Linked DNA regions of Arabidopsis thaliana. The protein of the gene in region 4 interacts with the protein of the main gene of each other region in a pairwise test. Each region holds a gene or a part of one and is shown on either strand. Other genes may lie near its edges. The genes, in order: AT1G60410, AT5G15500, AT4G32600 and AT4G38690.

Region 1 (7,511 bases), on a different chromosome or scaffold from region 4:
AAACGGAACAGCGAGCCAGGGCATCTTTCTGAAATAATCTCCAAATGACTCTTCATCCTCATCACCTGACACAAACACAATCTCAAAACCAACTTTCGAAGAGAGCTCGTTGTAGACTTCCACCAGCTGTGGAGTAAACCGCTGACACGGTCCACACCAAGCAGCTGAAAAATACAATCCAATCTTCTTCCCTAACAAGCTGTCAACTTTCACCTAAACATCATAAAAATGCATAAAAAATTAAACTCTACCCAAACAACATAAGCCATGTGAAATAGACACAAGCCAAATCAATAAAGGACCAAGCACTGAATGAATCTTAACACTTGAAAGCAATCGATTAAAGTCATCTATAGCAAATCAATCAACTACACGAAGCTATCTATATTCTGTAAACCAGAAGAGTCGGTTCAAAGAATCGCGAGACAATCACAGGATCGTTATCGAAGATCAGAAGAAGTTGCGATCGAAGACCATAAACTCAAAATCACGTCAAAAACTATTTTACCTGTTCGCCGTCATTACGAACGAGGAAATCCCTCGCCGGAGAAGAAAGAAGCGAGTGAAGATCCTGGGCATCGTCGCCGTTGACTTGCTTCGAGGTTTCGGCCATTGTTTGTACGGAGATCGAATTTGAGAATCGCCAATTACGAGCACACGAAGACTGGTCTGTGTATTCTTTTGAGAGGGCCAAGTAATGCTCAAAGCGTTGTATAAAAGCGTCTCTTTTGAAGTTTTTTTTTCTTCTTAATCCAGAATTAGATTACTTAGCGATTAATTAAAGACCAGAAAATGCTAAAAACAAATGGTTGACCAACCAACACAATTATATTCCGGTTCGTCCATCAAACGAGGTCAAATACAAAACACTAAAAAGTCAGCAGTAGAAATATCTCGATGGGGTATAAATTGGTCAAAATCGAATATTTGGGGTTAATATTAAATATTTACAAAACATTAAGCGCTATCTCGACAATTCACGAGGATCAGTTCCCGGTATTAAACTCGGAAAATCCTTAACAAAACCCTAGCTTTTTGTGCAATTAGCTATTCAGATTGTTTTGTTTTCTGATCTGACTGTTTTTAATCTAATTCTGCTATATATATGGTATGTTCTTTGGGTTATGTCTAAGAAAACAAAAGCTTTATCTTTTTTTTTTGTCTACATTATACTTTCACCAAAAAATAATATATGTCTTATTAATGCGTTTCTTATTTCGTCTAGACTCCATGCGTGATTAGAGGACCACCAACGGTGGTCCCTTAACAAAATTTCTAATGATAAAAAGAATGAAAAATAATTAAAAGGTAAGTGTAAGAAGAGAGAGAGGCCCTAAAATTCTTTATTTAAGGGACAGTCTCGAGAAAATTATATACATGTGTTTTTATTATTGGTCAAATTATACAGAAGCCCTAATAAGATTAAAATATTATTATTTGTATGTTTTTAAGGGATTTTCATAGAGTCCAGCGTTGGGGGTGCTCTTAGTTACCCAATTTGAATGAGCATATGTCCTGTGTACTTGATAGATTCAACCAAATGGTTTGAGATTAAAGGAAGCAATTAAGTATCTAAAACTTTGTTGCTATAGTTTTGTATATTTTACATGTATTGTACACTATAGCAACCTAATTACAATGCATGTGATATATATATAGAAAACTATAGCAACAAACTTTCAACGAAACTTTGACGTTGAATCCAACCCGTAACAACATGGATGAAGTCCAAGATACTTCACTTTTAAGTTTACTCATTGCAATATAGTTTACGAGTAAGAATCAATGAAAGAATATAAAAATTTATAATCAATCCTACATATAGTTGCAACATAGAATTTCAATTTTGTTTTAAGAGATAGAAATTTACTAAAGAACATCCATAAAAAAAAACTAGAAAACATAAAGCCATGTCTAACAAGAAAATCTAAAAAGTCTTACAATAGATTATTTGATAATTAACTGTTGATAGGTAAACTTGATTTAGGAGAGACGACATTATACACATAACAACTTGACACCTTTCAGCATATCTTTGGAATCCTTTTCATTTTCTTGATGATGTTACTGCCCACTTAAAAGCATTTTCGTCAAGCGTGTACACTTCTTCCTAAAATATGTCGCAAGTTTCATTTTACTTGGTGTCGATGGTGCCTTCAACTGAAGAAAGTCGAGAGAGGATAAGACACATTGAGGCACTGGTGAGAGTTTAATCTCCTCCATCTCTGGAACACAGTCAAGTTCCTAGTAACATAAAACTTTTGATAAGTTTTCTTGGGATATGAATCTCAATGTAACTACGTGAAATATAGACAAATAAATGAAACTCACTATGACGAGCGAATCTAGATTCATGCAGCAACTAAGAAAGGCTGGTAAAACTTCCCAAGAAGATTCGACTAACGAAGCATCCAAGCCAAACAAGTTAGAGAATGGAGGCAATGGTCCCACCTTGGAGTAGTCATGGATGGACTGTGTATAGCCAAAAAAAAAGTAAGTCAACACCATATACAAAATTGTACAAGCTTAATGTTATATTTAATCCACCAATCATATGTGTACCTCTAGAGTTCGAGCAGAGATGGTCAGTTCGTGAAATGTGGATAACCCGACGAGAAACTTACGTATCTTAGATATCTCCAATGGATCATCATCCTCAACATCAAACTCAACATCAACGGTTACCTCCGCAAAAGGACCAATTCTATGTATTTTAAGGCTTTCAGGTTTCTTATCACAGATACTCATAAACTCAAGGCTTGGAGAATCGATTTCAACTTTGGGATTGTCACACTCAAAACGCTTAGACTCAAGTCTAAAGCTCTCCAGTGATTGAGAACGAACACATATGACTTCCAAATAATCCTCCGGATGCGGAATCACGGTTAACTCCTCAAGAACCGGACTATGCGATATGAGAGTCTCCAGAACAGAATCACCATCAAACTTGACCCCCTCAAAATACATTTTCTTCACACTAGGTAAAGAAACCGATTTTGATCTTGGATGATCAAAGACAACACAGTAGAGAATCAAATTCACTAAAGTAGCACATGAATAAAGCGAGGGAGGCATCCTAACTAATGCTACATCAACATCCACCATATTCTGAATATTCAGATCACAAACTCCACGCCTAACCACTTTATTTAGCCTCCTCACAAATGGCTCATGCAAGTGCTCATTAGCATCATAAAACATATTGAAGCTCTTCAACTTCAAGCCTAACTCTTCGTGATATTCCATAAAGCTATCTATGAATTCTCCCATGTCGTGTTCACCTTTAAAATCTTGGAAATCCAAATCCAAAACAGAAACAAGCGACCAGAGATTACTCCAACGAGGGGACAAAACGCTAGTACGAACCGATTCCTTGGTAGAGAGATTAGAGAGGATGCGACATAGCAAATGACACGGTAAATCGCTTAACCTATCTTTCCCTGAGACTTCGGTTCTAGCCATGACTTCTCCCGGAAACCCTATATTTCGGACAAAGCTACACTATTAATTTATTATTAATTAATCAAACATAATCCAAAGTATGAAAGAGAGTTCAGAGATTAGGTTAGAGATTACCTAGTAGAGATAGAGAGGAAGAAGAAGAACCTTCAATTTGACGACCAGAGATCTTCTCGCTAGATTTTCTTCCTCTTTGACAGTTTTTATAATAAGTTGAAAAATAAAAAGAGGCTATACGAAACGTGTCGTGAGCGCCCTTTCAAATTTCTTCAATATTTTATTGACCACAAAACGAAACGTTGTGATTTTTTTTTAATTACATTTAATGAACTTTATTGTCAATCGAAATAATGATATGTATTTAATTTACTGTTAATATAAAAGAATACTTGAAATACTCATGATTGATTTTTTTTTTGTTAACTCTTTGTCTTTCAAGAATAAAAGCTCAAATTGTATCCGTTTTTTTTTCTCAACTCTTGTTCAATTCTATCCGTTTCACAATTCACAAAATAATATCGTTTACATTTTAACTAGTTTTCAGATTTTCCTCTTGTCTAAAGCTAAAAGAAATTTTCTATTTAAATCATTATGGTATAATTAGGGGTATATTAAATAAGGGTATATTTGTATGTTTAACTCATTTTTAATGTGTGAAATGTGTCAAAATTACACTTTTTATGAAAGAGAGATACATTGTAAGTTTTAACCAAAACTAGGTAAAATTGCCTGCTAGTCTAGGTAAATCTTATGCTATTTAATTTTATGAATGATCATTTATAATATTTAATTTTATGCTTTCCAATCTTATAAATAATTTTATGTATAATATTTCAAATGACTACATTTTAATATATGTATATATATATATATGTAATGTTTTATATAGAAATGTAAAGTGCATTTAAAAAAATCAAAGCATTAAATGTACATAAATTTCAACAAATCATATATGGTAATAATCAATAGAGATATTTGAAAAAAACTAAATTTGGATATTCAAAATATATAAGAACAAAATAAGGTGTGTTTGAGTAATGGTTTAAAGAGGATAAGGAAAGGAAATATGTGTTTGGCAAATATGATAGTAGAAGGTATCTTTAATTTTGTGCCTAACATATTTAGCCATTTTTTAAAAACAACTAAATAGTACATTATTGGTAATTGAATAAAACAACAACTCACAATATAAAATAGTATAGTTTTTTTTAGATTGCATAAAATCATTAACGGACATACAGAAATGTGGAACGATTTTTATAAGAATAATGGGAATAGGAAATGGTTACGTGGTTAAAGAGAAAGTATATATATTAAAATGTAGTTTCTTGAAGTTTCAATTTTCTAAATTTTGACCAATTTGATATCCCTGAAATGGTCTTAAATACATATTTTTGGAGATGTTGTGAATATAACTTCTCCAAACACATAACCTCTGAGAAAATTGATTCACCACTTGCTCATGGAAAGACACAGCCTCACGTTGCTGCAAAATAGAGAGAGAGAGAGAGAAACAACTCAAAGACAATAACGAGAAGCTAAGCAATTCGTCTTAGAAAGGAAGAAAGCGAAGATAATTGCATTAATGCATATTTATACTACTATTTGCATCATAGAAATCAAAATAAGTATCTAAGAAAAAAGAAATAACTATATATCGAATAATCGAAACGACCCTCCCGTATAGCACTTAATTACTACTTAGTAGAGAAGAAACATTCATTAGTGTATAGATAAGAACCATAGCAAGACATGATAATCGAGGAACAAAACACATATCGCTTCATGAAACAAAATATTCTATTATATATACCATTGTAAGATTCATGATCTATACAATTTTTTCCTGTTTAAAGTTCCGAAAAAAAACAAACAAACAAAAACATCTTCGTTTTGTATTTCTAGATCAGGCAAACCCAAATTTCCATGTTTGCATTTGTTATTTTCCCGCCAAGAAGTGCCAATAGAGATCTCTTTCTTTCGTTTTTTTCTACCAGCTTCAACAACTGTATACAAGCAAAATAGCTAAGAAGTAAGAACCATCTCAAAGGACATCAAAGCGTACACTAATTAAGGGTTAAGCATAGACAGAGAAGAGCCGTTGCAATCTTTGACCCACCCAAACCATGATGATTTAGTTTGAGGGAATAGACAAGCAAAGAAGAAACAAATTTAGTGTGGAAACCCAGTAAAGATGAAAATTTTTAGTAATGAAAGTTAAAGTTTCATCGACATATGATTGCAGCACAGCTAAATATAAAACAGTAACTTTAGTGGCTTTGTCCTCCCATTGAATCCTTGTAATCCATTGATCTTGATCATTTTTGTAATTATTGACAATTATTTAATTTTCGTATTGTTATAGAACTGTAATTAACGGATCAAAATTCAATATGGCTAGTTTCACTAAAATACAACTATTTATTTTGTTTTAATTATACTTCTAAGGAATTGTATAATAATAATCTGTCGCATGATGTATAAATGGTTGAAGACTTGAAGGTATTTTTAACACTATCGTACTTTGTATTATCTTGAACATATATCTGTTGAATTCTCTAATAATTCTTTGTATAGTACTCGCGATCCTGTTTCTACCTCGATATGATATCTTCATATCTTGTATGAAGTTGTATGCCTTACAATTTTATTTTTTTTGATAAACAGTATGCCTTACCATAACTCTTTGTAAAGCACCCAGTTAAGTCAGTGATCAAACCTATTGAAAATACTCCAATTTTAGCATAATCTATGAAAGGCCATTAAACTCAAAATCCAATCGAGCCATATATATTGCCAAAGATTTATCCATATGTGGCAAAAAGCTGGTCGTAAGCACATCCTTTTTTGGGAATCATAAGTACATATATATCACATAAAAAAGAATCTTGTAATTTGCTAATCATATCTTCCTCACCAATTCTAAAATCACCAGGGTTGTTAACTTAACTTTATAAAAAATAAAGAGTTCGCATAAACTTAAGTCGTGTGATTTTAATCAAGTCAGAAAAAGAAGGCTAGACTCAATTAGACAGGAAAGAGTATTGAGCAAGGAAAAGGGTTCACTAGGCATAGAGAGCTAGGGTTGCAGAGTTTACCGTAGATGGAACAAGGGAACCAAGAAAGAGTATTACGACTACGATTTCAAAAAATAACTGTATACCTAGGAACCATAAAGTCTTGTCAACCAAAAACGGAAATTTACCTTACAAATATCCATATAACCAGGAACCATAAAGTCATGTCCACCAAAAAATTATAAAGTCTTACATAAAATGGATTATTGGTAGATAACGGGTTGAACCCCAGATAATAATATGTTATTGCTCACTTTTAGCCACTTTTCTTCACAAAATATGCTGCTATTTTCCTTTCACTTGATGTCTTTGTGACTGAAACTGGTGTCTTCTGCTGAACAAACCCACGAGCAGATAGGGAATCTTGAAGCAGTGGTGAAACTTTAAACTCCTCTATCTCGGAAAGGCCATCAAGTTCCTATTGATATAACAAAACAAAAAAAATTGTAATATTTTCTTGGGATATAAATCCCAATGTAATTACATGAGCATATGCAAATGAAATTAAACTCACCACGACGAGTGAATTTAGATTGATGCAACAACCAAGAAAGACTGGTAAGAGTTCCCAATATGATTCGACTAACAAAGCATCCAAGCTAGACAAGTTGGAAAATTGAGGTAATGCTTTCACCATGGAGTGATAGCCACGGATGACCTGTGTATATATGTAGCAAGAAAGAAAGAATGTATTCAAGAAACTGTATAAACATATATGCTATGGAATAAAACATTTAAATGTACCTCTAACGTTCGACTTGAGATGGTCATTTCACGGACTTTGGATATCCCGGTGAGAAAATTTCTGATCATAGATATCGCCAGTGGATCTTCATACTCAACTTCAAAGAAAATATCGACGTCTACCTTTGCATAGGGACCAATACTGTGTACTACAAAGCTTTCAGATTGGTATTCCCTAATACACATATACTCAAGCCTAGGACAATCAATCTCAACATTGGGGTCTTTATA
Region 2 (7,600 bases), on a different chromosome or scaffold from region 4:
CAATTTACTCTTCTCTATGAAAACTCTTCTGGTATGTCAGTCATATACAAATTTAAATTGGAAGATGATTTAAAACTCACATATGTTTCTTGACCAGAACTAAACCAATGTACACCGGATTCTGCAAACAAATGTATGAGAGGTGGAACACGGATTGAATCATAAGATAAGTCAGTTAAATCCAAATTCAAACTGGAGGATAAGTATTATATCTTTCTGAACCAGATCAAACCAGATTTTGCAAACAATATGGAATCTTTCTCATTTTCTTGGGTGAAGACCAGATTATTATTACAAAGGTGAAACAAGAATGATTGTCAAATCTATGAAACTGCAACTAATTGGTTACAGAAAGGTAATGTAGTTTTGAAAATGAGAATATGAACAAGGATGATATAGTAGTAAATCCAAAAGAAGCTTTCTAGAGAAACTGATATTGGAAATCGCTCATGCAGGAGCCAGTTTCACTCCAAGAAGATGAACTGCAGCATCTGATCTTCTTGTGTTGCGGTATGTGAAACTTGGGATCTCGTGGTGCAGTTGGATGTTTGCTCGACCTTTTAATGGTAAAAGAAAACAACAAGAAGCAACTGTGTCAGCTTTTGCAATGACGTTCATTGTTATAAGAAAGTTTACTCTATTAGTTGGTCTGTGAAAACTATATTGAAAACATATTTCTCACTTGAAAACAATATCTATATTACCTATCATGCTCTCATAATAAGAAAGATTCAAGAGGATAGTATTTATGTACCAGTCTTTTACCTTCTTGGAATGAATGGTCGATCAAAGTATGGCATTGGTTGTGCTTTTGGGACCAATTCTTTCCTCAGCCTTCTTATCTCTTCTTCCTCTGCCAACTAAAAACAATATTGGATTTATCAAAATCAGTTAAAGCAAAACTCTATTATCGGATATGGCCACAACATCTCATATTAAAGTTTACCTTCTGTTGTCTTTCTCTTTCCATTTTGTATTGCTCAATGAAGCTCATCTTCTCGGCAACCTAGAACAACAAAAATTCAGACTTTAACATGAAGAAATTTATGGAACAATGCAAAGTTACTATAGACAAGTCAACCTTGGCTACAGACTACAATACACACTATTTGACACTATCAGCTATTTTCCTTTCCGTCTCAAGTCTTAACACAACCAGCTGATAAGAAAACAAGTATACTCTAAATGATTTGACAGAATGAAATGGTTACTGAAGCCAAATCATGTCAGCGGCTATGTTTTAAGGTATCTTGAACTTCAAGCCCAACAAAATGTAGATTTAATCATTGCATTAGCAAGGTTACCTGGTAATCAAATTCTGCGCGTTCAACTGCCCGGACATCTGAGTGGAGCGTCAAGTCGACTGGTCTTGTAATGTCTTTCCAATGAGGCTTCACTAGGCACTGAAACAGAAAACAACATTAGAACTTTTCATAGTCAACAAGACATCATCTCTCACTATTGTTACTACTAGAGCTTACAAGATCAATTGAGATGTTAATAGGAAAGCAGAACATGCTTACCTCAGGTTCATCGGTTGTCCATGGAAGACCTTGAGCAATGGGGATTCTCATCTTTTCTTCCTCCATTGTTATTTCGTGTATCTTTTTTGCTAACTCTTCCTCTTTCACTTTACCTCTTTGCTGCAGAGAGACAAAAGACCAACCAACTGTCATGACTCAATTTCCACCATAAAATTCGAAATTTTTCTTTAGTTTTAATCTAAAGAAACTCATACCTCAGTTCTAAGCTTAAACGGCTTCAATGAAGTGACCTTAACCTGCTTCTTCTTTGATCTTCTACTTCCCATTGTAGTCGATGACTCCATGCTCTGCCATAAACAGAAATATCAAAATGATTATTAAACTATACTGACATACTAAGCAAGACAGACAACCATTAAACAGCTAAGAAAATTCAGATGCTGCATGCAGGACACTTACATTTCTTCTACTTCTCCTGCCAGCATTTGAACTTCCACTCAAAACACTGAAACATCACAATATCAAACTATTCAGAACAAGACAAGTTCATAATTTCAGTGAGATCTCTTAGTCAACAACAAACTAACCTGCCACGGGTGCTGTCCCAGGACGAAGAAATCGAAGCATTGGGGTCTAAACCCAGATTCTTAGCTGTTAAGACCATTTCAGATGGACAAAACGAAGAACTCCATGGGTTTTTCTCTTTCTCACCCTCCAAGAATTCCAATTTCACAGGTTTCTTCGTATCCTCTTCGGTTTGATTCTCTTCTATCTTGTTGGCAGTCTTTGAATTACTAAAGCAAGTGAGTTTCTCAAATGCTTCTACAAGATTCATCACTTTACCAGATACAGGCACACTTTGCCGTGCTTCTTCCACCACCTTAGCTCTTGATCTCTTCATTGTGGAAACGCCTGTTTTCTCCGGTTCTCCAGATTCTTTTCCTTCTAGTTCATCGCCATTTCCGAGATTACAGCATTCCTCCAAAGCTTCCTTATCCTCCTCTGATTCAATTCGATTTTTGAAGAACTCCTCTTGCGAAGCACGCAGAGTTTCATATGCAACACAAACACACTTCATGTTCCCCTTCTTCCTCTCTCCGCATTTACAATCTATCTCAGCTGCCTTGGATTCTGTAATCGCTGGCTCCTTCTTCCCTTTCCTCGAATTCTTCTTCGCCACCACAACAAACTTCCTCTCTCTGATCCGATTCCGGGGAGAGAAAACCGCCTGGGTAGGTTTAGGGCTCGGACTCGGATTCTTCTGCGCTGATTTCTTCGCAGATTTCATGAGCGGTGATTTAGAAGGACTCGCTTGTGAAATGTTAGGGTTTGCATTCTCCGATGATCTGGAAATCTTTTGATTGGACTGAAACTTGCTCCGATCCTTCACCGGAGTCCCTGCTTTCCCATTCTTCAATGTCAACGACTCCATCGAAGATAACAGAATCTGGAATCAAGAGAGTAACACGAACAGTAATCGATCTAGATTTGAGAATCTCTCCAACAAAAAAAAAATTGATCGGAGGTGAAGAATTAGGGTTTGTTCTTGCTATGGAGTATTGTAAATCGAATAAGAAGATAGATTTGGGGGAAAAATGTGACCGTTGCGGCGCTCTTTGGACGCTCTCTAATAACGGCTAGTCTTTTTGGTGCTTTTTTAATAAATAAACTTAGATTAGTAATAAATAATTATTTTCCTAATCTTGTCCGTTAGATTGTCAAATTAATGATTATGATGATTTTAATCCACGTTTAATGCCACGTCACATCCGAATTTCAACACTTTAGCAGCGAGTTATTTTGTACAATCTTAGCCATTAGATCAAATAGATGCTGGAGCCGATATGATCCACGTTGTACTCCATGTCACATCAAATTTTCAGACAATAATTCTTATTTATCTAATATCAACCGTTGGATTAAATGATCAGATACTGACGTGTCCACGTATACTGCCACGTCACCTATAATTTCCCACTCTTTTCCTTTTTTTGGGAACTTCCTTCATTCACAAACGAGTTATCATTTCGTAGCCAATTAAGTTTCATCATCATATTTAATCACCAAAAATATAATTCGCATCGTCGTTCTGTTCTCTTGAGTCACTAATGGACCAAAGATCATTAGAAGCTGCTGCTAAATCTGGAAACATCGATCTACTATACGAACTAATCCATGAAGATCCATACGTTCTTGATAAAACCGACCACGTGCCCTTCGTTAATACTCCTCTCCATGTGGCAGCCGTCAATGGAAAAACAGAGTTTGCCATGGAAATGATGAACTTGAAACCATCTTTTGCTCGGAAACTTAACGCCGACGGACTTACACCGTTACACCTCGCCGTGGAACACGGTCACTTCTGGTTAGTACTTGAAGTAGTTAAGGTTGATCCAAGTCTTGTTCGTATTAAAGGGAGACATGGTACGTACACTCACTTATTTTGTTGAACCCTTAATTATGTTTCTTAGTTTTTTCCAAAAGCTTTAGCTCTAATCAATCCGAACTAATGTTATAATATGTATCTAGTAAATTCAAATCTTGGAGATAGTATTGAAGTAGGACGAACAGTCCATTGAATACTAGTTTGAATTCAGTCTATTGTTGCTTTTGACTAGTCATTATGTCGATATTGTATGGTCAGATCATGAACTAGATTGGTTATACCAGGAGTGTTTAATTCATTTTTCTTGTCCAAAAAAGGTATGACGCCATTGCTAGTTGCGGTAAGTAGAAAGAAGATTGATCTGATGTCAGAATTCTTCTTGGGTTGTCCCGAAAGCATTGTGGACGCAAATGTGAACGGAGAAAACGCTCTTCACATCGCCGTGAATAACTACGACCAAAGAGAAGGATTAAGCGTTCTTAAAGTTCTCATGGGATGGATCTTAAGATTGTGTCAAAAAGATGCAGAGTGGATCGAGACAAGAGTCATAAACCGAAGAGACAAAGACGGTAACACGCCTTTACATCTCGCGGCGTACGAGATCAATCGTCAAGCTATGAAATTGTTGTTAGAGAGCTCCAAGATTAACGTCAACATTGAGAACAAGAACGGTTTAACCGTGTTCGACATTGCTGTGTTACACAATAACAGAGAGATAGAGAGAATGGTTAAGAGACATGGTGGAAAACGTTCGGTTTCTCTTGTCAAGATTAAGACAACATCGGATATACTCGCGTCGCAGCTTTCTTGGAGAGAATCGAGACGGACGAAGAAGATTCGGTTTTATTCTTGGATCTCTGAAGAGAGAAGAAACGCTCTTTTAGTGGTCGCAACTCTCATCGTCACAGCTACATATCAGACGGTTCTCCAACCTCCCGGAGGCGTGTCTGATGGCGGTGGTCAAAAGAGTGGAACAAGCGGTCCGAAAGCGGGTTCAGTGGTTATGGACGAGGTCTACTTTATCTGGTTATGGTTGTGGAACAGTGCGGGGTTCTGCTTTGCGATTGAGATGATGATACGTTTGTTGAGTTTAGGACAAGAGAGTATGTTTTGGTATTACCCTCTGTTCGTTCCTATGGTCTTGGCTTACTCTGTTGCAGGGGATGTGATCAAGCCGAACGCAAGAGCGTACACGATCGCAGGTGTGGGTGCGATCGTGGTTCTTATAATTTGGGGATTGGTAGTTTGGTTTTGGGAATGGGTGCAGTCTAAGAGAACCAAGCAACGTGGACCCAAGAGTGGATTGGTTTGGGAAGGTTTCACTACGTTGGATCAAGCTAGAGGTGTTGCGCCTAATCGGTATGTGATTAGGTAATCTTAATTTCCTCTTGTTATTTTATTGTTGCTTTTGTATTTTTATTCTATAATGTGTAAAATCTCTACTCGGGGTAAACCTATTTACATGAAATATCTGTTTATTATTTGCTTCTAATATTTACTCTACGTGATATGATGTGCATAAAAAGACTACATGATTGACAAGAGTATACGTTGCTAGAAAGTGGAAGGTGTCGTATGACGCATTCTAATTCGAATGTAAATTAGTAAAATAATTACTGAATCTACAAAAATCATGATTTTGAGGTTTTATGGTCACAGTTAAAGTAACATGGCAAACTTGTATACGAATCAAAAAAATATTGAACCATGTTATATTTGAATTCTTTTTCAATATATTTGGTTTCGATTTATATTTTTCTAAAACTATATATAGCTTTAATATTAAAATTTCAACCGCACTCTTCTTTTTATTAGTTATTTATATAATTATGCAAATATAGCTTGAGAAGCACTTCAAAAAGTGTGACTGAGTTTTTAAGCAAAGTGCAGTTAGTCTTTTGTCTGAAGTTTGTCCTGCAGACCTCACCACACAATCACTTAAGTACTCATATATACAAAATGGTTTTATAATAATAGATTAACATGTACATTATTGAAACTAAACACCAAACTTTGGGAAGTATATTATTACTATGAATGGACATTGACGCACAGAAAAGGATTCAAACCAATAATGTATATTCCTTGTTAATATTTCTCAAATTAAATAATATATTTTGCTGGTAAGAAATATGTCTATATATATATATAATATTGTTTAGTAGGTGAACAAATAATATATACATAGCTATTTTTGTTTTGAAGCATCAATTACCTCAAGAGAAAATTTAATAAGTGGAAAAAGTCAGAAAAATATGAATCCATAATATAAGTGATTAAGTGTAAAGGTTGGGGAAAAAACGCTAAAGAGATACAAATTGTCCAAAAAAACAATTAAAAAGGTACTTCCTTTTTTTATATTGTGGAGATTGGTAAGTCAGTTATATTTTCTTCAATGAAAGTAAACAATAGACAGGCAATAAATGAATTTATTTAGTTTCCAATATAAAATTTGAATATGTTTTAATATACAAAATAGTAACAATCCATAAAAGAAATATATATTTATATATAATTTACAGTTTATTTTGTTGACTGATACAAACATTTTTCATGTTTTTTTGGCAAATACGATAAAGTGTATTTAAGTTGGTCGAAATCCAATCAATGGAAATATGTCAAATGTTTAACGTGTCTTGAAGACTTTTTACAAAAACCTGCCAAATATTGTGAGCCCATCGTTTTTTCTACCTATGTCATTCAATTTTTAACTGATAGTGTTTTGTTAAATTTAATTAAGCAATACTAATAAATACTAAGACTTTTAAACAAAAACCTGCCAAATATTTTGAGCCCATCGTTTTTTCTACCTGTACATCATTTAATTTTTAACTGAAAGTGTTTTGTTTAATTTAATTAAGCAATAATAATAAATAAGTAACCAAAAACACTTTAATATCTTTGACGGTTTCAAGGGCAATTTAGGAATCTCATGACCTATATAAACTCCATACTCACCCCGCTATTCTTCTCCATCGTCAGATTTAGCGATTTCACCTCCATTTTCTTCGATCAGTGCTAGAACCAGAGCCTACCTAGCTCGCACCTTAAGGTATCATCAAATTCTAGCTTCTCTCTTTCTTAATCCGTGTCACGATCCAGTTTTGTGTTTAATCGCGATCCGATCTCGGGCTTTATCTCCTGTTTCGATTTGGATCTACTTTGGTTGGTTTAATTTTCATATAGATTTGGTTTTTGAATGTTTGTGTGTTTATTAACCTTCTTCTGTGATTATATTGAGAGTTAACAATTTTCTGCATTCAGGCTCGATCTGTGTCGGTGATCCGTAGAAAATTCACGTAATTTCATTTCTCATTTTACGTTATTCCCAATTCCTGAACCGGGTTCTGTTGCATGTACCAGATCTGAGATTTTGATTTGAATTTCTTGCAGTATGTGTATATTTTTCGTTGAATTTCGGATTGTTAAGCATGATCATGAGTATATGATCTCTGAATTGGTTGCTTCACCTAACATTTGGGTCATGTTTACGTTAACGTATTCTCTGTGTATCCTTTTACTCTTACGAAACCGGATCTGAGTTTTTGAAAATTGTTAAAGTTTAGTTTTTGCTTATTGTAGATTCTCCTTTTGAATGCTTTTAACTTTATTTTGCATATCAATTTCTTCTCTACAATGCTTGAATTGTTGGATCTGATTTGTTGAGTTGAGTCAAAAAATTTCCTTCTACGGTGCTGCTAGATACAATAATTCCTATCTCTTGTTCTGA
Region 3 (8,350 bases), 2.4 Mb from region 4:
CGGGTAGCGACGGGTCATATCCGGTAGATAAAGCAAAGGCTGTGAGTGGAGATAAGCTTCTCAGAAGCATTATGCAGGATAACAAAATTGAACTCTACGCTGCTTACGTGAGTTATGTTGATTTCTCTCTCTTTAATTACGAAATTTAACTTCAGATTTTCTCAATCTTAATACATTGATTGATTTGATGTTTGAACTAGTTTCTGGAATAATTTAGTAGACAATGAAAATATTTAGTTCTAGATTTTGATGTGAGGAGATGGTTTGTTGAAGGCTTATGTAAACTTTGGATTTTGGTCAATTTGTGATGATTAGGGGAAAGTGATGAACTGTGGTGGTGGAGGAAGCTGTGGAACTTGCATTGTGGAGGCAAGTGACTTCATACAATGTTAATTAGATTCTGATTATGAATTTATGAGCTATGATTGTTCTAGCATTCATGGATATCAATGGAGGAAAATAGATTTGTGTTTGGTCTTCTTATGATGACCAGTAACTCAAAGCAAAAAAATACACATTTGGTCTTCTTGTGTGCAGATACTCGATGGCAGAGATCTTCTGAATGAGAGAACAGATACAGAAAACCGGTACCTGAAAAAGGCTAGTTATTTGATCACTCCTCTCTATATTATTGTTAGATTCACAAGTTTCTCATTGCTAGTGTTTGGAATGGGTATGTGCACTAACAAGATGAATGAAATGTTGAGCATTGTTTCTGGTTAAATGTGAATATATGTTTTGTTGTCTGATATGGTTACTAAGTAACTTTTCTTAGATATGCAAATTTTGGATAAAATAAGAGCCTTGGCTGTTTAAATCTTAAGGGTTTTGTTACTATTGTGCAGAAGCCGGAATCTTGGAGACTCGCATGTCAAACAATAGTAGGGAACAAAGAAAACTCAGGAAAGGTACCTACTTTCATACACCAATTTATGCATATGCAAATTGCAAACGCTAATGTGCCCATTATTTGGGATCATAAGAGTTTATTTTTCCTTTTTATGATCTTTCTCATTGAGAAAAGTCGGCTTTGGATATAGGTTGTCGTGCAGCGGATTCCACAGTGGAAGAAGTGAATTAATGTAAAGGTTATTTGTCTCAGATTTATGTGTATATAACACATCTCTGTATGAATGTTGTCTCGTATTAATGGAAGATTCGTTTGTCTAGACGTATTTTTCTTTAGTTCTTGGATATGTGGTGCCATGATAGTGAAATTTAAGAGAGAAACTATCAACTAGCTCGCATGATTGAAATGTTTAAAATTTGCTTAAAGATACGGTAGGAGTGAAGCTGGTCAGAAGATTCGGTAGGAAGTGTTTTTATGATGATCTGAAAATCAGTAGCATGTTTTACCTTTTTGAGCTGAAAATGGCATTTGTTTCTTAAGCTTTGAAAACGTGTTTCTAAAAAATAAGAACTTGGTTTAGTATTCGAACCGTTTCTTTGACAACTTTCAGATCACTTTATTTATCGAATGTCACCGAAGAGACAACTTTCAGAACATCTAATTAGATTACGCGCCGCCCCGTAAAACAGGGGTAAAGTCAAAAAGCAATATCTTCTCATTTTTACTTTTTACTTTTTTCTTGTTGAGGGAAAATATAAAGAGGAAGGAGCCAAAGAAAGCATCACTATCTGAATTTTTCTTTGTACATTTATTTATATATAATACTAGTTTTTGTGTGATTGCTGTTTGGCTCCGAATTTTATATCCATAATTTTTTTTTTTTAATCTCCCCTTGGTTGATCGGTGAACACAAAAAAAAAAATCTAAAATAATCGCAAAATACATTTGAAGAAGCTACACGATCAACAACAGCAAAGGATTTCGATTGTTGAAAAAGTTGACTCTTCTTAATTTGATTCGTTGTCTTGGTTTCTGGGTTTTCTTCTTCTTCTTCTGCGGCGCTCTCCAATTTTACACCTTGCGACCAGCGAGAAAAGAAACAAATTTCACCCCCATTGAAGAAGGTTTGTTTCCCCTAATTGCTTGATTTTATTCTGAGATTAATCCCAGGCGCCAATTATATGCTTCTGTTCTTCTGATAAATCTTTGCCCTTTTACGATTTTTCTTTGATTTTACCCTAGTTTTATGGTATAATCTGGGTGAGTTTCTTTCCTTTAATTCATGTATGATTAAGCTTGGATTGGTCGATTCTGATGAGTCAAAATCTTGAAACAGACATAAATTGATGATTTTTCGTGGTTGTTTTAGGTCATTTGAGGGTTTAAGCTTTCTTTGTGGATTTGCAGGACCTTTGGTTAAGCTCCATGGTGTGGTATGCGCAAAGTGGACAATACCTAGATGGGTGTTTCTCTTCTGAAACAACAACATCGTATTACAAATCAAGCTGATACTTTTTCTAGATTCATGGAAAGATCACCAGAGAATAATCTAAGCAGAAATGAGCACATCATCATTGACATTCCAAGAAATGCCGCCATTGCATCATCATCATCTTCTCATGATAGAATCTCAAATGTTTTGGAACCTTTACAACATGAGGAAGAGAGACCTTCTACTGTTTCTCCCATGGCTGCTCCTCAGCCAGCTACAGCTACAGCTTCTTCTTCTTCTTCTATGCGATCAAATCCTAGAAGTGTCCGTCGTAGAAGAAGTCCTTTGAATTCTGGCTTATGGATTTCTATTGAACTATTCCTCACTGTTGGTCAGATCATTGCAGCTATTGTCGTTTTGTCTTTGTCAAAACATGAGCATCCTCGTGCTCCTTTGTTCACTTGGATTGTTGGTTATGCGTGTGGATGCGTTGCTACACTCCCGCTTTTGTACTGGAGATATTATCATTCGAATCAGGCTTCTGAACAGGATTCTGGTCAGCACCGTCCTAATCTTAATGTTGCAGCAGGACCATTCGCCTTCTCGATATCCAGGACATCCGAAGCAGATGGTCGACAGACCAATACCACCTCTTCTCGTGGTAGTAGATATCCTGGGTTTATAAGTGCTGCCAGGTAAACACACATGTTCTTAGATGATCTGTTTCAACTGAAAGTTTGGATTTTGAATTACGTTTTCTCTCAAAGCTTTTCTTATTTTTGAGAATTGAGAGTTTAGATGTCTCTTTTGTTCTAAACTTTTTCTTTGTGTTGAAAATATCTGCAATCTAATTGAGTCAGTATGATTTTGGTCGTTGATTTTGGCTTCCAGACTTAAAGTTATCGTGGAATACTTCAAAATGGCTCTGGATTGCTTCTTTGCGGTGTGGTTTGTGGTAGGTAATGTATGGATATTTGGAGGGCATTCATCTGCTGCCGAGGCTCCTAACTTGTACAGGTGATATTCTTTTAGATATACAGCAATTAGACTCAAACATCAGACTGCATTTTCCAAGACTGACCCATATTTTTGTTCTCTTGTATGTTCTAGGTTATGTTTAGTGTTTCTTACCTTTAGCTGTATTGGCTACGCGATGCCCTTCATCCTCTGTACAACAATATGTTGCTGCTTGCCTTGCATAATCTCAATTCTCGGATATAGAGAAGATTTAACGCAACCTCGAGGTGCCACACCTGAGTCGATTAATGCGTTGCCGACTCATAAATTTAAGTTGAAGAAAAGCAGAAGTAATGGCGATGACAATGGTTCAAGTACTAGCGAAGGTGGAGTTGTGGCGGCTGGAACAGATAACGAACGAGCTATTTCAGGAGAGGACGCAGTGAGTTTCCTTACACTTTGAATTTACACATAAACACACAGATACAATCAAGTTGCTGAATATAAAAATATTTGCAGGTCTGTTGCATTTGCTTAGCGAAATATGCGAATAACGAGGAGTTAAGAGAGCTTCCATGCTCACATTTCTTCCACAAAGAGTGCGTTGACAAATGGCTGAAGATCAATGCCTCTTGCCCTCTATGCAAGAGCGAAGTTGGGGAGAAGAACTCTGATTTGACTAGCCAAGGGATCTTAACCTCGCTCTCTTCTGGGGAAAACGATAACCATCAACAACAGCAACAACAACAACGGAGTGAACTTAGAGTTGAGAATGGTTTGGCCAATAATGTTATCTAGATCTTCGAGATTTGCTCTATGTCCGAGAAAACGGCAAATTAGCCGTTTGGCGATGTTCCTACACAAAATGGGGTTTGCTTCTCATTGCTAAGAAGGTGAAGAAAGACACGGCGAAGATCCTGTTCTGTAAATGCTTTTTGCCGTTGTGAATTGGAACCTCTTGAGTGTAGAAGAGTTCGAGAATCGGTGATTGAGTTTGAGCGTGTTCCAAATACTTGTTTTTATTTATTCTCTGAATTTGTCACGAGTACCACCTCTATACGAGAGCCAGGGATCTTTCGAGACCTTGTGCAGCTAAAGTGCCTCATTCATGGTCTCTCTGCGAAAAATTAGAATAAACCAAATAAAATATTTATACCTTTATACTGGACCACAAAACTTTTAATGGCTTCAACGATTTTGTTATCTTAGTTTTTGAATTACTAGACACTGACTCGTTGGCTCGGTAAAATTAGTGTGAGAACCGGTAACTTACAAGAAGCATAAAGATCATAATAGTTTTGCCTTTAGTAGAGAGAGCTCACACAGTCGAATAGAGAACTTTTTCTTAACATTAATCTCGGATGCATATGTTTTGAAATGGTTTGAAAATAAAAGTGATTCAGTTCCTGAAACATTTAAAAGCGGTATAGTGCCATACTAAAAAAATTAACCGCAGAAACCGATCCAGAGACCGAAAAGACACGTCCTTCTAGGCGGTGTTTTCTGCAGATGGGTTTTCATGAACAAACGTGCCAACTGATTTGAACCATCGCAGTAGGTTACGGTGATCCTTTACATAGAGCCATGCCTGAAGAAAGGGGAAGAGACTCTCGTTCACACCTCGTTCCTCTAGGAATCCATGGAATACATCTCTCATCTTCTCATCGAGCTCTCTGTCAAAACAAATAGAAACACTTACTTGCCAATCGAGTGAATTTTCTATCAATTGTAAGTTACGCATTATCTTTAGAACAGAGAAAACAGAATGCTGAATAGGATGCACAAACTCTCTTCTTTAAAACTGAGAAATGCAATGAGAGAAGAATGTAAGGAACATGACAAGAGACAAATCCTTGATTCAAAGGCTTCATAATAGAAACAAACCGATTGTGTGTCAATAGTGAGACTGCACTACAAATATGTCACATGAGGAAGAGCAGTAACTGAAACTGAAAAATCGAAATGTCTAGAACACATCTACCACCATTCTATTCTACATTCACATTCCTCAATAACTGGTACAAAAGAGATAAGCTGTTTCTTAAAATCATCCTTGAGAGAGTCAGAGATTATTTAAGAATGACGATATACTTAGTTGGCCTATTCTTAGTTTGAGAGCTCTGAGTGTAGCAAGACGAGACAGCTCAAAACAGAAATGAATCACCTATAAGGTCTCAACCATCAACTGAATAACTAGAAAGGCAAGCATATATTGAGTAAGTCTCTAAACTCACTAAAAAGAAGTTAAAAAGAGAGAAACTCACTCAAAAGAAGGGCCTGTGTATTGAGTAGGATCATCAGACATCTCCAAAGCCTCAAGTTTTGGCCTCATGGAAACAGAATGAATACCCAATGCATCAGGGTAAAGGCCACAAAGGAAATGCAAAGAATCAGGCTGATTTGGCTTTGATACAGCAACATGAAGGAACAACTGGTTGATCCCACCATCGTCTTCTTCATCACCTCCGTGAGCCAAGCGCATAACGAAAAGATTGATCTCTTCATTTCCAACAGATTTCTTCAGAACAGCACCAGTACTTCCTTCAAGCGACCCTTTCACAATCTCAAATGGTGACGGAGGACTCACTTTCTGCAAAATCAATCAAAAATCTGTAAATCCCACCATAAACCCTAAGTGGAGGAAGCAGCAGCTAAGCTAGGGTTTAAGTAACAGTACTGAAATTTCAGTTGTACCTAAGACGAGACATAGAGAGAAAACACAGAAAGAGAGAGAGAAGAGGAGGAACGAACCGGAGGAGGAGTCATCTTAGAAACCTCTAAGTAATGTTCCTTGAGGGAACGCAGAAGCATCGAATCCACTGCAGCTGAAACGTTGGCGCTCTTTCCACTTCCACCGGCTTTACTAGATAGCGCTCGCTGTAATTGATGCCGGACGGCGACATTTCCGATCACTCTTCTCCACATTTCTACTTCTCCGTCGTCGAGAGTAGCAAGCAACACGACGAATTGTCTTAAGAGAGTAAAATAAATACTGTACCAACTTTTCTTTTTCGTCGAATAAACCGCAAGAGAAATATACCTATTTAGGTTTGTCAAAAATATGATCTAATTCGTTTGATAAACATATAATTAAAATAATCAATTGATTTTGTCGATTCAGACTCATAGATTAACTTTATTAAGCGCTGGCTTAGCCACAACTAATAATATGTAAGATCAAGAAGTAGAAATTGTTGTGGGAGATAAAACAAATCCAAGTATAACCATGATGAGCAAAGAATGTATGTAAAAGGAAAAATTCAAACAGAGTTTCTTCTTGTCATGTTCCATTGTGATAGGATTAAAAGATCCAAAGTTATCATAACTCTAAAACACGACCCAACCACATTCCCCATCAAAAGATTTGTTCAAGGCAAGTAAGTCTCATATGAACAAAACCTATGTTCATATCACAACGGTGGGTGGATTGATTTCTTCACCTCACAGGTTGCTGATTGTAGTTTTTCTTTTCTTTTTTCTTCGCTGCGGCCAACTTTGCCTTCCTCGCAGCTGCTTCCTTTGCAGCAGCTGTTGAAGCACCATCAACCTCCTTGCTTGATTTCTTCTTCTTCATTGATGCAATCTTCTTTAGCCGTTCTTTGACGTCGATGGAAGAAGAAGACTCCTCCTGCTCAGCGGACTCACTTGCAGCATCCGAGTTGCTCTTCACTTCACTCTGGGATTCTTTTAGCTCCTTCTGTTTGTCCTTCTTTTTCTTCTTCTTTGAGGCCTTTGATTCTCCGGTTGTGTTCTCCTTCTTCTCTCCCTCATCATTCACTTCTTTCTTCTCCCCCTTATCTGTTCATATTTGCAGAAGAAACGTCTATCAGTATTAGCCATAACATGGTTTTCTCAGCCAGTGATACCTCAGCGTAGAAAGGTATCCACAGATAAATATCACCAACGAGTGAATAGAGTAGAGTAGAATTGTTACCAACGAGTGAATATAGTAAAGTGAAATTGTGCTATACCTTGAGAGTCTTGTTGACCATTCTCATCTTTGGTTGCAACTCCAAAATCTGCTAGCAAAGCCTCAAGCTCAGCAAGTTCCTTCTTTTTCCTCTCTTTCTTGGAAAGTTGCCTCTCTGCCTCCTTAGGAGGAGCACGAACTTCAGGAGCCTTTTTCACCTCAGGCTCTGCTTCTGGATGAACTTGTGTCTCTGTTCCCTGCTCGTGATCTTCCTCCACATCATCATCATCTCCATCATCAAGAGTGTCTTCTTCGCTTTCAATTTCCTGCGACATTGAAATCAAATGCATCTCTATGAGAAACAAATGAACAGATAGGCACACAACCACGGTTTAGAGAAACCATTGCACAACAAACTTACATTGCCTAGAAAAATTTCGATAACAATGCAATTAGATATATGAACCTTCAGGAGACAAAGCAGCTTACTTCACAATAACATTAATTTCCCTTTCAGAATTCAGACAACACAAGCCTAAGCCTAAGCGAGATAACAACAGTAGAAAAAAAGGCCAACTCATTCAATTCGTGGAAGCATTTGAAATCTAAAGAGGCTTATTGCAAGAGACATATTAAACCAGTGTTACAATTTTCAACATGTGAAATGCATAAAGCTATGATGATGAACCCAAAATCAACATATATATGAAAGATTTGGACTTGTGACCTCAGCGGGAACGTCTTTAGCATCTGAATGGGAGGCTTCAGAAGTGCTCCACAGGGACTGAGGTGGAGCAGTGGTAGCGTAATAATCATCATCTTCATCATCGCTATCGATATCAGCCCAAGCCTTTGCTTTGAGAGGCGTAGGTGCCCAGAAAACCTGTGGCTCAGGCTCCTTCTGTGAATCTTCTCTCTTAGAGGAAGCTTTGCTCTTACCAGCCTTATCAGACTTCTTCTTCTTCCTCGAAGTATCCAAAGCAGCAAACAAGTTGGTGTTCTGAATCGGCATCGATCCCTCATCTCTCCTGTTTCCACCACCAACCATCTTTTTTCTTTCCTCGATCACCACACAATAAGTCACAGAGTGTTTTCTGATAAAAACCCAGAAACGAAGTTTCACAATTTCAGCTGGAAGATGAATCTCGAGTAAGTTAAGGTAATGAAGGATGGGAAAGGAAAAGCTGATGAATTGTCGCTA
Region 4 (7,131 bases):
GAATCGGATACCTGGGGAAGAAGAAGAGAAGAAAGCGGTGCTGCTAATGGCTCGCCACCACCGAGCGGTGGTTCACGCCCAAGATTGGTGTTACAGCCACGTACACTTCCCGTGGCCGTTGTGGAGGTCGTGAAGCCGGAGAGTCCGGTCTTGGTCATTGTGGAGAAACCTAAAGGTGCTAATCCTTTTGGGAACGCAAGACCTAGAGAGGAAGTTCTGGCTGAGAAAGGCCAGGATTGGAAAGAGATTGACGAGAAGCTCGAGGCTGAAAAGCTTAAGGACATTGCTGCAGCCATGGAGAAGCCTAATGAGAAATCTACAGGGAAGATGGGCTTTGGTCTTGGCAATGGCCGTAAAGACGAGGAACGTATTGAAAGAAGTTGGAGGAAAAGGTATATATCTTCTTTGACTATAATAAAACTTGGTTGATTCGTTTCTTTAGTTTGCCTGCTTGTTTTCTGATTATACCATCTTAGTCGGGCAAAGTATTGATCTCTTACTGTCTGTGGAAATTATTGACATGGGTCTAAGAAATTGTGTATATTGTGGGAGATAGGGATTCATATATATGCTATAAACAGTGAGATTTTGGATGATCATTCATGTGTTATGGATCACTGCATTAGTATAGTAGTTAATATGTTAAATTTGGTGTTATTAGTTTTTCTCTACATTCATACATGGAAGTTGATGTCTTGAAGTGAAGCTGAAAGATTGGATCTCTCTTTCTGTTTTGTTTTTTTGATCTGGCATCCCATGTTTAGAGAGCTCTGTTTTTCTCTTTCTGCGTGATGGTAATGGGTTTTTTAGTTAGTGTTGTTGAGTATTGTGGGAAGTTGTAAATTTTGTAAGCATGTTTCTTACTCTTAAATTATTTTGTCTTTGAACATTGAAGCACGGAGCATTCTGAGGAGGATGCTCAAGAGGAGGAACCAGCTGTAGAAGGGGCAAAGAAGGAAGAGACTGAGGACAAACCGGCTGTAGAAGAGGCTAAGAAGGAAGAAACTGAGGGTGAACAGGCTGTAGAAGAGGCTAAGAAGGAAGAGACTGGTGGCGAACCGGCTGTAGAAGAGGCAAAGAAGGAAGAGACGGAGGACAAAATCTAAAGAGTCAAAAGGCATTTTTGTGGATTGTGATAGTTTGGGTTCTTGAAGTTTAGCTTCTGAGAATTTGTGTTGTTTAATTTGGATAAGTTAAGTTGTGTGGGGGAACTCTAGAGAAAATTTTGGTAGGGTCTTTTTTTTTATAATATCTCTCTGTCTCTTTTTTTTACCACATACTCTGTTGCAATTTTTAGGGTTTTGGGGTGTCTTTTATTTTTTACGAGTTGTACAATTTCATTATTGGTTTAAATCTGTCTTTGAATTTGGGAGCGTTTAGTTGATCAGTGATCAATGGTGCGTAGAGAGAGTGATGTTTGTTATTAAGAGCCCAATTGGCCCAACTTAACCCGACCCAGTATCAGATCTGGCCCGTATTCTATAATCTTCTTGATCGGTGCAGTCCACTTAAGATATATGTGGTGAGGAATAAATCCAACCTGTACAAACACACAGAATGTAGTGGGACGGGGAATATGATAATACCACGCGCTTTAGAGCTGGGAATATATTAAAATTGATCAAAAATAGGCATTTTGGCTGGACTATATAGCTTACCCATTTTGATAACACGCGCTCAACGCTCCTAAGGTGCGCGTGGTACATATCCTTACCTCGAATAAAGTTTATGCTAGTTATTTGGCAGAATCTCAAAGCTTTTTAGAATCATAATTTTCTAAAATAATTAAATCTCTTTACATGTTTTCAAAGTTGTCAAACACTATTACAATTTTGAACATATCATCAATATCAGACAGAAAATTTTCAAAGTTAATACCTGGATCATATGCATTTACTATTTTCTTTTTGTTATATAGAAAAATATCAAATAGATTTTCTAAATAATGACATATACCCTCTTTTTATAGGAGAAAATCTTTTTCCTGTAAACATTCCTAAAATTACAAGTGATCAAACTATATATATATATATATGTTCTAGATTCATTTGGATAGTAAACTTTCATATCAATTCCTTAAGTTTATAAATTATGAAGAGCACATTAATAATATTTTTCACACTCTGTTTGAGCATGGCCGTTATGGCGCGTCACGAATCCTACTATGGCAACACCAAACCGGCTAAACTGAATGAGGAGAAAGTGACACGTGTCAGATTTTATCTCCATGATACTCTCAGTGGCCAAAATCCTACCGCCGTTAGAATCGCACATGCAAATCTAACCGGTGGCTCAGCTTCGCCGGTAGGTTTTGGAAGCCTGTTTGTGATAGACGATCCGCTCACCGTCGGGCCGGAGAAACACTCGAAAGAGATCGGGAATGGTCAAGGGATGTATGTCTCCGGGTGCAAAGACTTGAGCAAATTCACGATCGTCATGTACGCTGATTTGGCTTTCACGGCAGGGAAGTTTAATGGAAGCTCGATCAGTATCTTCTCGAGGAATCCGGTGGCGGAAGAGGTCGGAGAGCGAGAAATCGCGATTGTTGGTGGCCGTGGGAAATTCAGAATGGCGAGAGGTTTTGTCAAAGTAAAAACAAATAAGATTGACATGAAGACTGGTGATGCTGTTCTCCGATATGATGCTACTGTTTATCATTATTAACCGATTCATATGTTCCGATTAAAACAATAAAAAGGCCAACTAAATCAATTATTCAGATCAAAACTGAATTTTGCATGATCAAGAGATCAAAATTGATTAATTATGTTGCAATCTTTCTTCTCAATTCCCAAAATCTATACTAGTAATCTCTTTTACATATCTTAGTTGTGTGGATCGTGATATTTGAGATAGTCTTACAAAAGACATGATAGGGCCTGTGAGTGTATATGATTGGTTTTCCATCGGATCCTATCCGAATTTTATCCAAAATATTAATTATCGATGCCTTGTTTAAATTTTAGGAACGACTTTTATTTCATAGAAAATTTGAATATGTGTCTTCCAAGAAATAAAAATCACGTTGTATTGATATCTTTCACGTCGGAAAATAGCCAGGCATTAGAAATTGACAAATAACAAACAGTGAAGACAGCTATACAACAAAAATGGACCTACCATACATTGTAAACCCACTCTCCCATCAATTACAACTCAACCACTCTTTCAATATATCTCAACTAATCAATCAGTTCACATTTATAACACTAAAATGTTCCCACAATAAAAATTGTAACAGTTAATCTTACATATTAAACGCTACTACTTTTTTTCTATGGTTTTTGTTAAGTTAAAAGTTGAAAGTTACTTCTAATTTGCGAATATGTCAACGGTGTTTTGAGAAAGTAGCGTAATTATTAAAAGATTAACGTATAATTCGTAACTTCTTCAAACCAATAATAAGTAAATAAAAAACAATCATAACGACTTATGAGTAAAGGTTTATTGATAAAGAAGGCATGGAACATTTTATAAACAAGAGAGAACAGAATTCAATATAGTGATCAGAGAAGAGAGAGCAAAGGGAAAGGGTTAATCCTCAGCAATGGGCTCTCACCTTTCCAAACAACTCGAGCGGCGAAAAGCCATCTCCACGGAGAAGAAAGCCCTCACCGATCTCGAGAAATCGTGCGGCTGCGAGTTTCCGGGGTGTGATTACATGCCTTCCGATCGTAAAAACTGGATGGCCGGCGTTGGACCTGAAAAGCTTCACATCAACAAGATCGTCTGGCCTGGGACGCACGACTCTGCCACCAACAAAATCGGTATCCGATTCGTGTCTCGTCCCTTTGCTAAGTGCCAATCTCTCTCCATCTATAACCAGCTCGTGGCGGGTACTCGAGTCCTTGACATTCGTGTCCAAGAAGATCGCCGTGTATGCCACGGTATCCTCAAGACTTATAGTGTCGACGTTGTCTTGGCCGATCTCAAACGGTTTCTATCCGAAACAGAGTCGGAGATTGTCATTCTTGAGATCAGAACAGAGTTTGGACACGAAGACCCACCGGAGTTTGATAAGTATCTTGTGGAACAGCTTGGAGAGCATCTGATTCACCAGGACGATCACGTGTTCTCCAAGACAGTCGCTGAGCTGCTTCCCAAGAGAGTGATCTGCGTTTGGAAACCGAGGAAATCGCCTCAGCCTAAGCATGGTGATCCTCTTTGGAGCGCTGGTTACCTTAAAGACAATTGGATCGATACAGATCTTCCATCGACCAAATTCGAGAGCAACATCAAGCATTTGAGCCAGCAGCAACCAGCTACTTCAAGGAAATTCTTTTACCGGGTGGAGAACACAGTGACGCCGCAGCCCGATAACCCAATAATGTGTGTAAAACCGGTGACTAAGAGGATACATTGCTACGCCAAGGTATTCATCATAGAGTGTGTAAAAAGAGGATGTGCTGATAAACTGCAGATATTCTCAACTGATTTCATAGATAATGAATTTGTTGATGCTTGCGTTGGGCTCACCTTTGCGAGAGCTGAAGGTAAGGCCTGAGGAATGAGCGTGTGGAGACAGACTTTGTGTATCTATTTTGAAGGAAAAGAATCAGAACATGGTTGATGTGTTTTAGGGTTGCTTGTGTATAAGAGAACATGTGAGTGTGTATTTGTATGTGTGTGTGATTTACGAGTGTATATTCCAATTCATTACAACTTATTTGAATCCTGATACAATTGCGAGATATCCAAACTCTTCATTACTATTAATTTCTGATACTTTTGCAGATGTTGTAGTTGATAGACAGGCAAAACAGAAGGAAGAAGTATACAGTTGATGGTAAAATCTAGTTTTAACAAGTGAAAGAGAGCTGCTAACCTGAGAGATGACTATATTTCTGCAGCAATGCCCCTTTTTATTACACACTACTGTGATCTTCAAGAACAAAAAGATAATAGAATCAGTTATGCTAGAATTCATATCAGTAGCTAATGACACAATGCATCTCTATAATTTCATTATTTGATTATATCTATAAACTGAGATGATGGAAACATGGTGCAAAATCCTAATAATTTGAGATTAGATTTCTTCTCAAGACTTGAAACACAAAAGAAGAAGAAGAAGAGCATTTGATCCACAAGAGTGATTGAGCCGAGCCAAATTATTCTCCCTGCTGAGATCGGCAGCGAGACCACTCTTCTAGACTCTAGACATGGGATGCAGAGAAACCAACTTTTTTTATTTAAACGGCTGCGTTTTAAGTCATGTTCTCAAATGATACCAGTTTTTTTTTTTTTTTTTTTTTTGCTAAGCACAAGTTTGATTTGTTGTTTGGCACTTTACGATAACATCATTTTACTCCTATACTTTCTCACGGTAAGTGATTAAGATAAAAACATGCACATTTTTCGAATTATAAGCTAAATTTAAAGGGATCTATTTTCTATCTCTCAATAATTTTTAAATTTTACTCATTTTCTATTTCTCTTATAAATTAATTACTTGGTAATTTAGTTTTGTAATCGATACTCAAAAATCGATATCCAACAAAGGACAATCTCTTTGCGGTCAATAGTCTTCTCAAATTACTTCATACAATTATCATACTGTTTGGTAAAATTTGTGAATCTGCCTCATAAAATGTACGTGGAAAGTGGAACAACAGTTAATGCTTATTTTGACCACAAGATTGAGAAAATTTTGAAAAGAGTATATTGACCAGTTGCTGACGTTGCATGTCATTCTTTAATGTTGTTGTTGACTGCAACAAAAAATAAAATACAACATACAAAGTAAAAAAATAAAAATAAATTAATTGATCTTTGTTTCTCTATTCCCCAGAGAGCTAGCTTTTCAGATCTAAAATCAGAATCTGACGGCTGATATCCCTCGTGAAAAACACCCCAACCGTCCAGATGCAACTGCTTGCTGGGCCAATGATCCATTCTCTTTCCCGAAATGGATTAATCAATTTAAGCCTTATCACATGCTGGCCCATTTTCTAACTCCTCTTTTCTTTTTTAACTTACTTTTCTTTCTTTTAATATTTTAGTTGCAGATTCATTTTCGAAATCAACGAAATTTATGTTTTTTTAATTTTCTGGGTATCTTAATCGCGAGATTTTTTATTTTAATATCACGCTCGAATATACAATTCGGAATGTGCAGATGTTTTTTTTGAAGGCAATTTAGAAAAATAGACAAAAATCGAACAAACATATATAGAAATAGAGATCTAAATAAAAACATTTATTTTATTTCCTCTTGGAAACAAGGAAAAAATGAATTGGGGTGGGTGACGTGGCAGTCATACCCTTGCCACACCCTTCCTATACGCATATAAACAGCAGCTGCGAGGAGAGAGAGATTTCAGAGTATTTTCTAGGGTTTCGTTTTTTTTAAAGATTTAGAGAAAAAAGTGAGTTATTAAGAGATTCCAATCAAAATGAGCGGAGACAACGGCGGTGGTGAGAGGCGCAAAGGCTCCGTCAAGTGGTTTGATACCCAGAAGGGTTTCGGCTTCATCACTCCTGACGACGGTGGCGACGATCTCTTCGTTCACCAGTCCTCCATCAGATCTGAGGGTTTCCGTAGCCTCGCTGCCGAAGAAGCCGTAGAGTTCGAGGTTGAGATCGACAACAACAACCGTCCCAAGGCCATCGATGTTTCTGGACCCGACGGCGCTCCCGTCCAAGGAAACAGCGGTGGTGGTTCATCTGGCGGACGCGGCGGTTTCGGTGGAGGAAGAGGAGGTGGACGCGGATCTGGAGGTGGATACGGCGGTGGCGGTGGTGGATACGGAGGAAGAGGAGGTGGTGGTCGAGGAGGCAGCGACTGCTACAAGTGTGGTGAGCCCGGTCACATGGCGAGAGACTGTTCTGAAGGCGGTGGAGGTTACGGAGGAGGCGGCGGTGGCTACGGAGGTGGAGGCGGATACGGCGGAGGAGGTGGTGGTTACGGAGGTGGTGGCCGTGGAGGTGGTGGCGGCGGGGGAAGCTGCTACAGCTGTGGCGAGTCGGGACATTTCGCCAGGGATTGCACCAGCGGTGGACGTTAAAACCAACGCCGGTTACGCGGTGGAGAAGAGTGAGTTGGTTATCTCACAAGTGATCGGTTCTTTCTCCCGCCGCCTTCTATCTCTCTATTATCCACTTTTTGCTTATTATGATGGATCTCTATCT

The links.
Region 1: the proteins of AT4G38690 (region 4) and AT1G60410 interact in a protein complementation assay, tested with the Arabidopsis thaliana proteins (one large-scale study listed by BioGRID).
Region 2: the proteins of AT4G38690 (region 4) and AT5G15500 interact in a protein complementation assay, tested with the Arabidopsis thaliana proteins (one large-scale study listed by BioGRID).
Region 3: the proteins of AT4G38690 (region 4) and AT4G32600 interact in a protein complementation assay, tested with the Arabidopsis thaliana proteins (one large-scale study listed by BioGRID).

Annotation. Positions count from the first base shown.
Region 1 is NC_003070.9:22,255,080-22,262,590, reverse strand, and holds AT1G60410 (F-box family protein), read right to left. Parts: upstream 3,653-7,511; 5' UTR 3,577-3,652; intron 3,480-3,576; 5' UTR 3,463-3,479; coding exon 2,563-3,462; intron 2,473-2,562; coding exon 2,332-2,472; intron 2,245-2,331; coding exon 2,065-2,244; 3' UTR 1,804-2,064; downstream 1-1,803. Other genes in the region: AT1G60420 (DC1 domain-containing protein), read right to left, coding at 1-213, 509-613; AT1G60400 (F-box/RNI-like superfamily protein), read right to left, coding at 6,793-6,954, 7,051-7,194, 7,281-7,511.
Region 2 is NC_003076.8:5,029,436-5,037,035, reverse strand, and holds AT5G15500 (Ankyrin repeat family protein), read left to right. Parts: upstream 1-3,495; 5' UTR 3,496-3,592; coding exon 3,593-3,908; exon of another isoform or gene 3,909-4,187; coding exon 4,188-5,245; 3' UTR 5,246-5,388; downstream 5,389-7,600. Other genes in the region: AT5G15510 (TPX2 (targeting protein for Xklp2) protein family), read right to left, coding at 448-649, 766-860, 947-1,006, 1,305-1,403, 1,524-1,643, 1,739-1,831, 1,944-1,989, 2,072-2,916.
Region 3 is NC_003075.7:15,721,701-15,730,050, forward strand, and holds AT4G32600 (C3H4 type zinc finger protein), read left to right. Parts: upstream 1-1,644; 5' UTR 1,645-1,974; exon of another isoform or gene 1,975-2,110; intron 2,111-2,219; exon of another isoform or gene 2,220-2,257; 5' UTR 2,258-2,309; coding exon 2,310-2,977; intron 2,978-3,173; coding exon 3,174-3,299; intron 3,300-3,392; coding exon 3,393-3,681; intron 3,682-3,758; coding exon 3,759-4,037; 3' UTR 4,038-4,441; downstream 4,442-8,350. Other genes in the region: AT4G32590 (2Fe-2S ferredoxin-like superfamily protein), read left to right, coding at 1-107, 316-369, 538-600, 846-908, 1,025-1,081; AT4G32605 (Mitochondrial glycoprotein family protein), read right to left, coding at 4,729-4,912, 5,504-5,829, 5,991-6,164; AT4G32610 (copper ion binding protein), read right to left, coding at 6,676-7,037, 7,211-7,475, 7,877-8,197.
Region 4 is NC_003075.7:18,072,116-18,079,246, reverse strand, and holds AT4G38690 (PLC-like phosphodiesterases superfamily protein), read left to right. Parts: upstream 1-3,289; 5' UTR 3,290-3,547; coding exon 3,548-4,504; 3' UTR 4,505-4,927; downstream 4,928-7,131. Other genes in the region: AT4G38710 (glycine-rich protein), read left to right, coding at 1-392, 662-700, 896-1,106; AT4G38700 (Disease resistance-responsive (dirigent-like protein) family protein), read left to right, coding at 2,092-2,664; GRP2 (glycine rich protein 2), read left to right, coding at 6,396-7,007.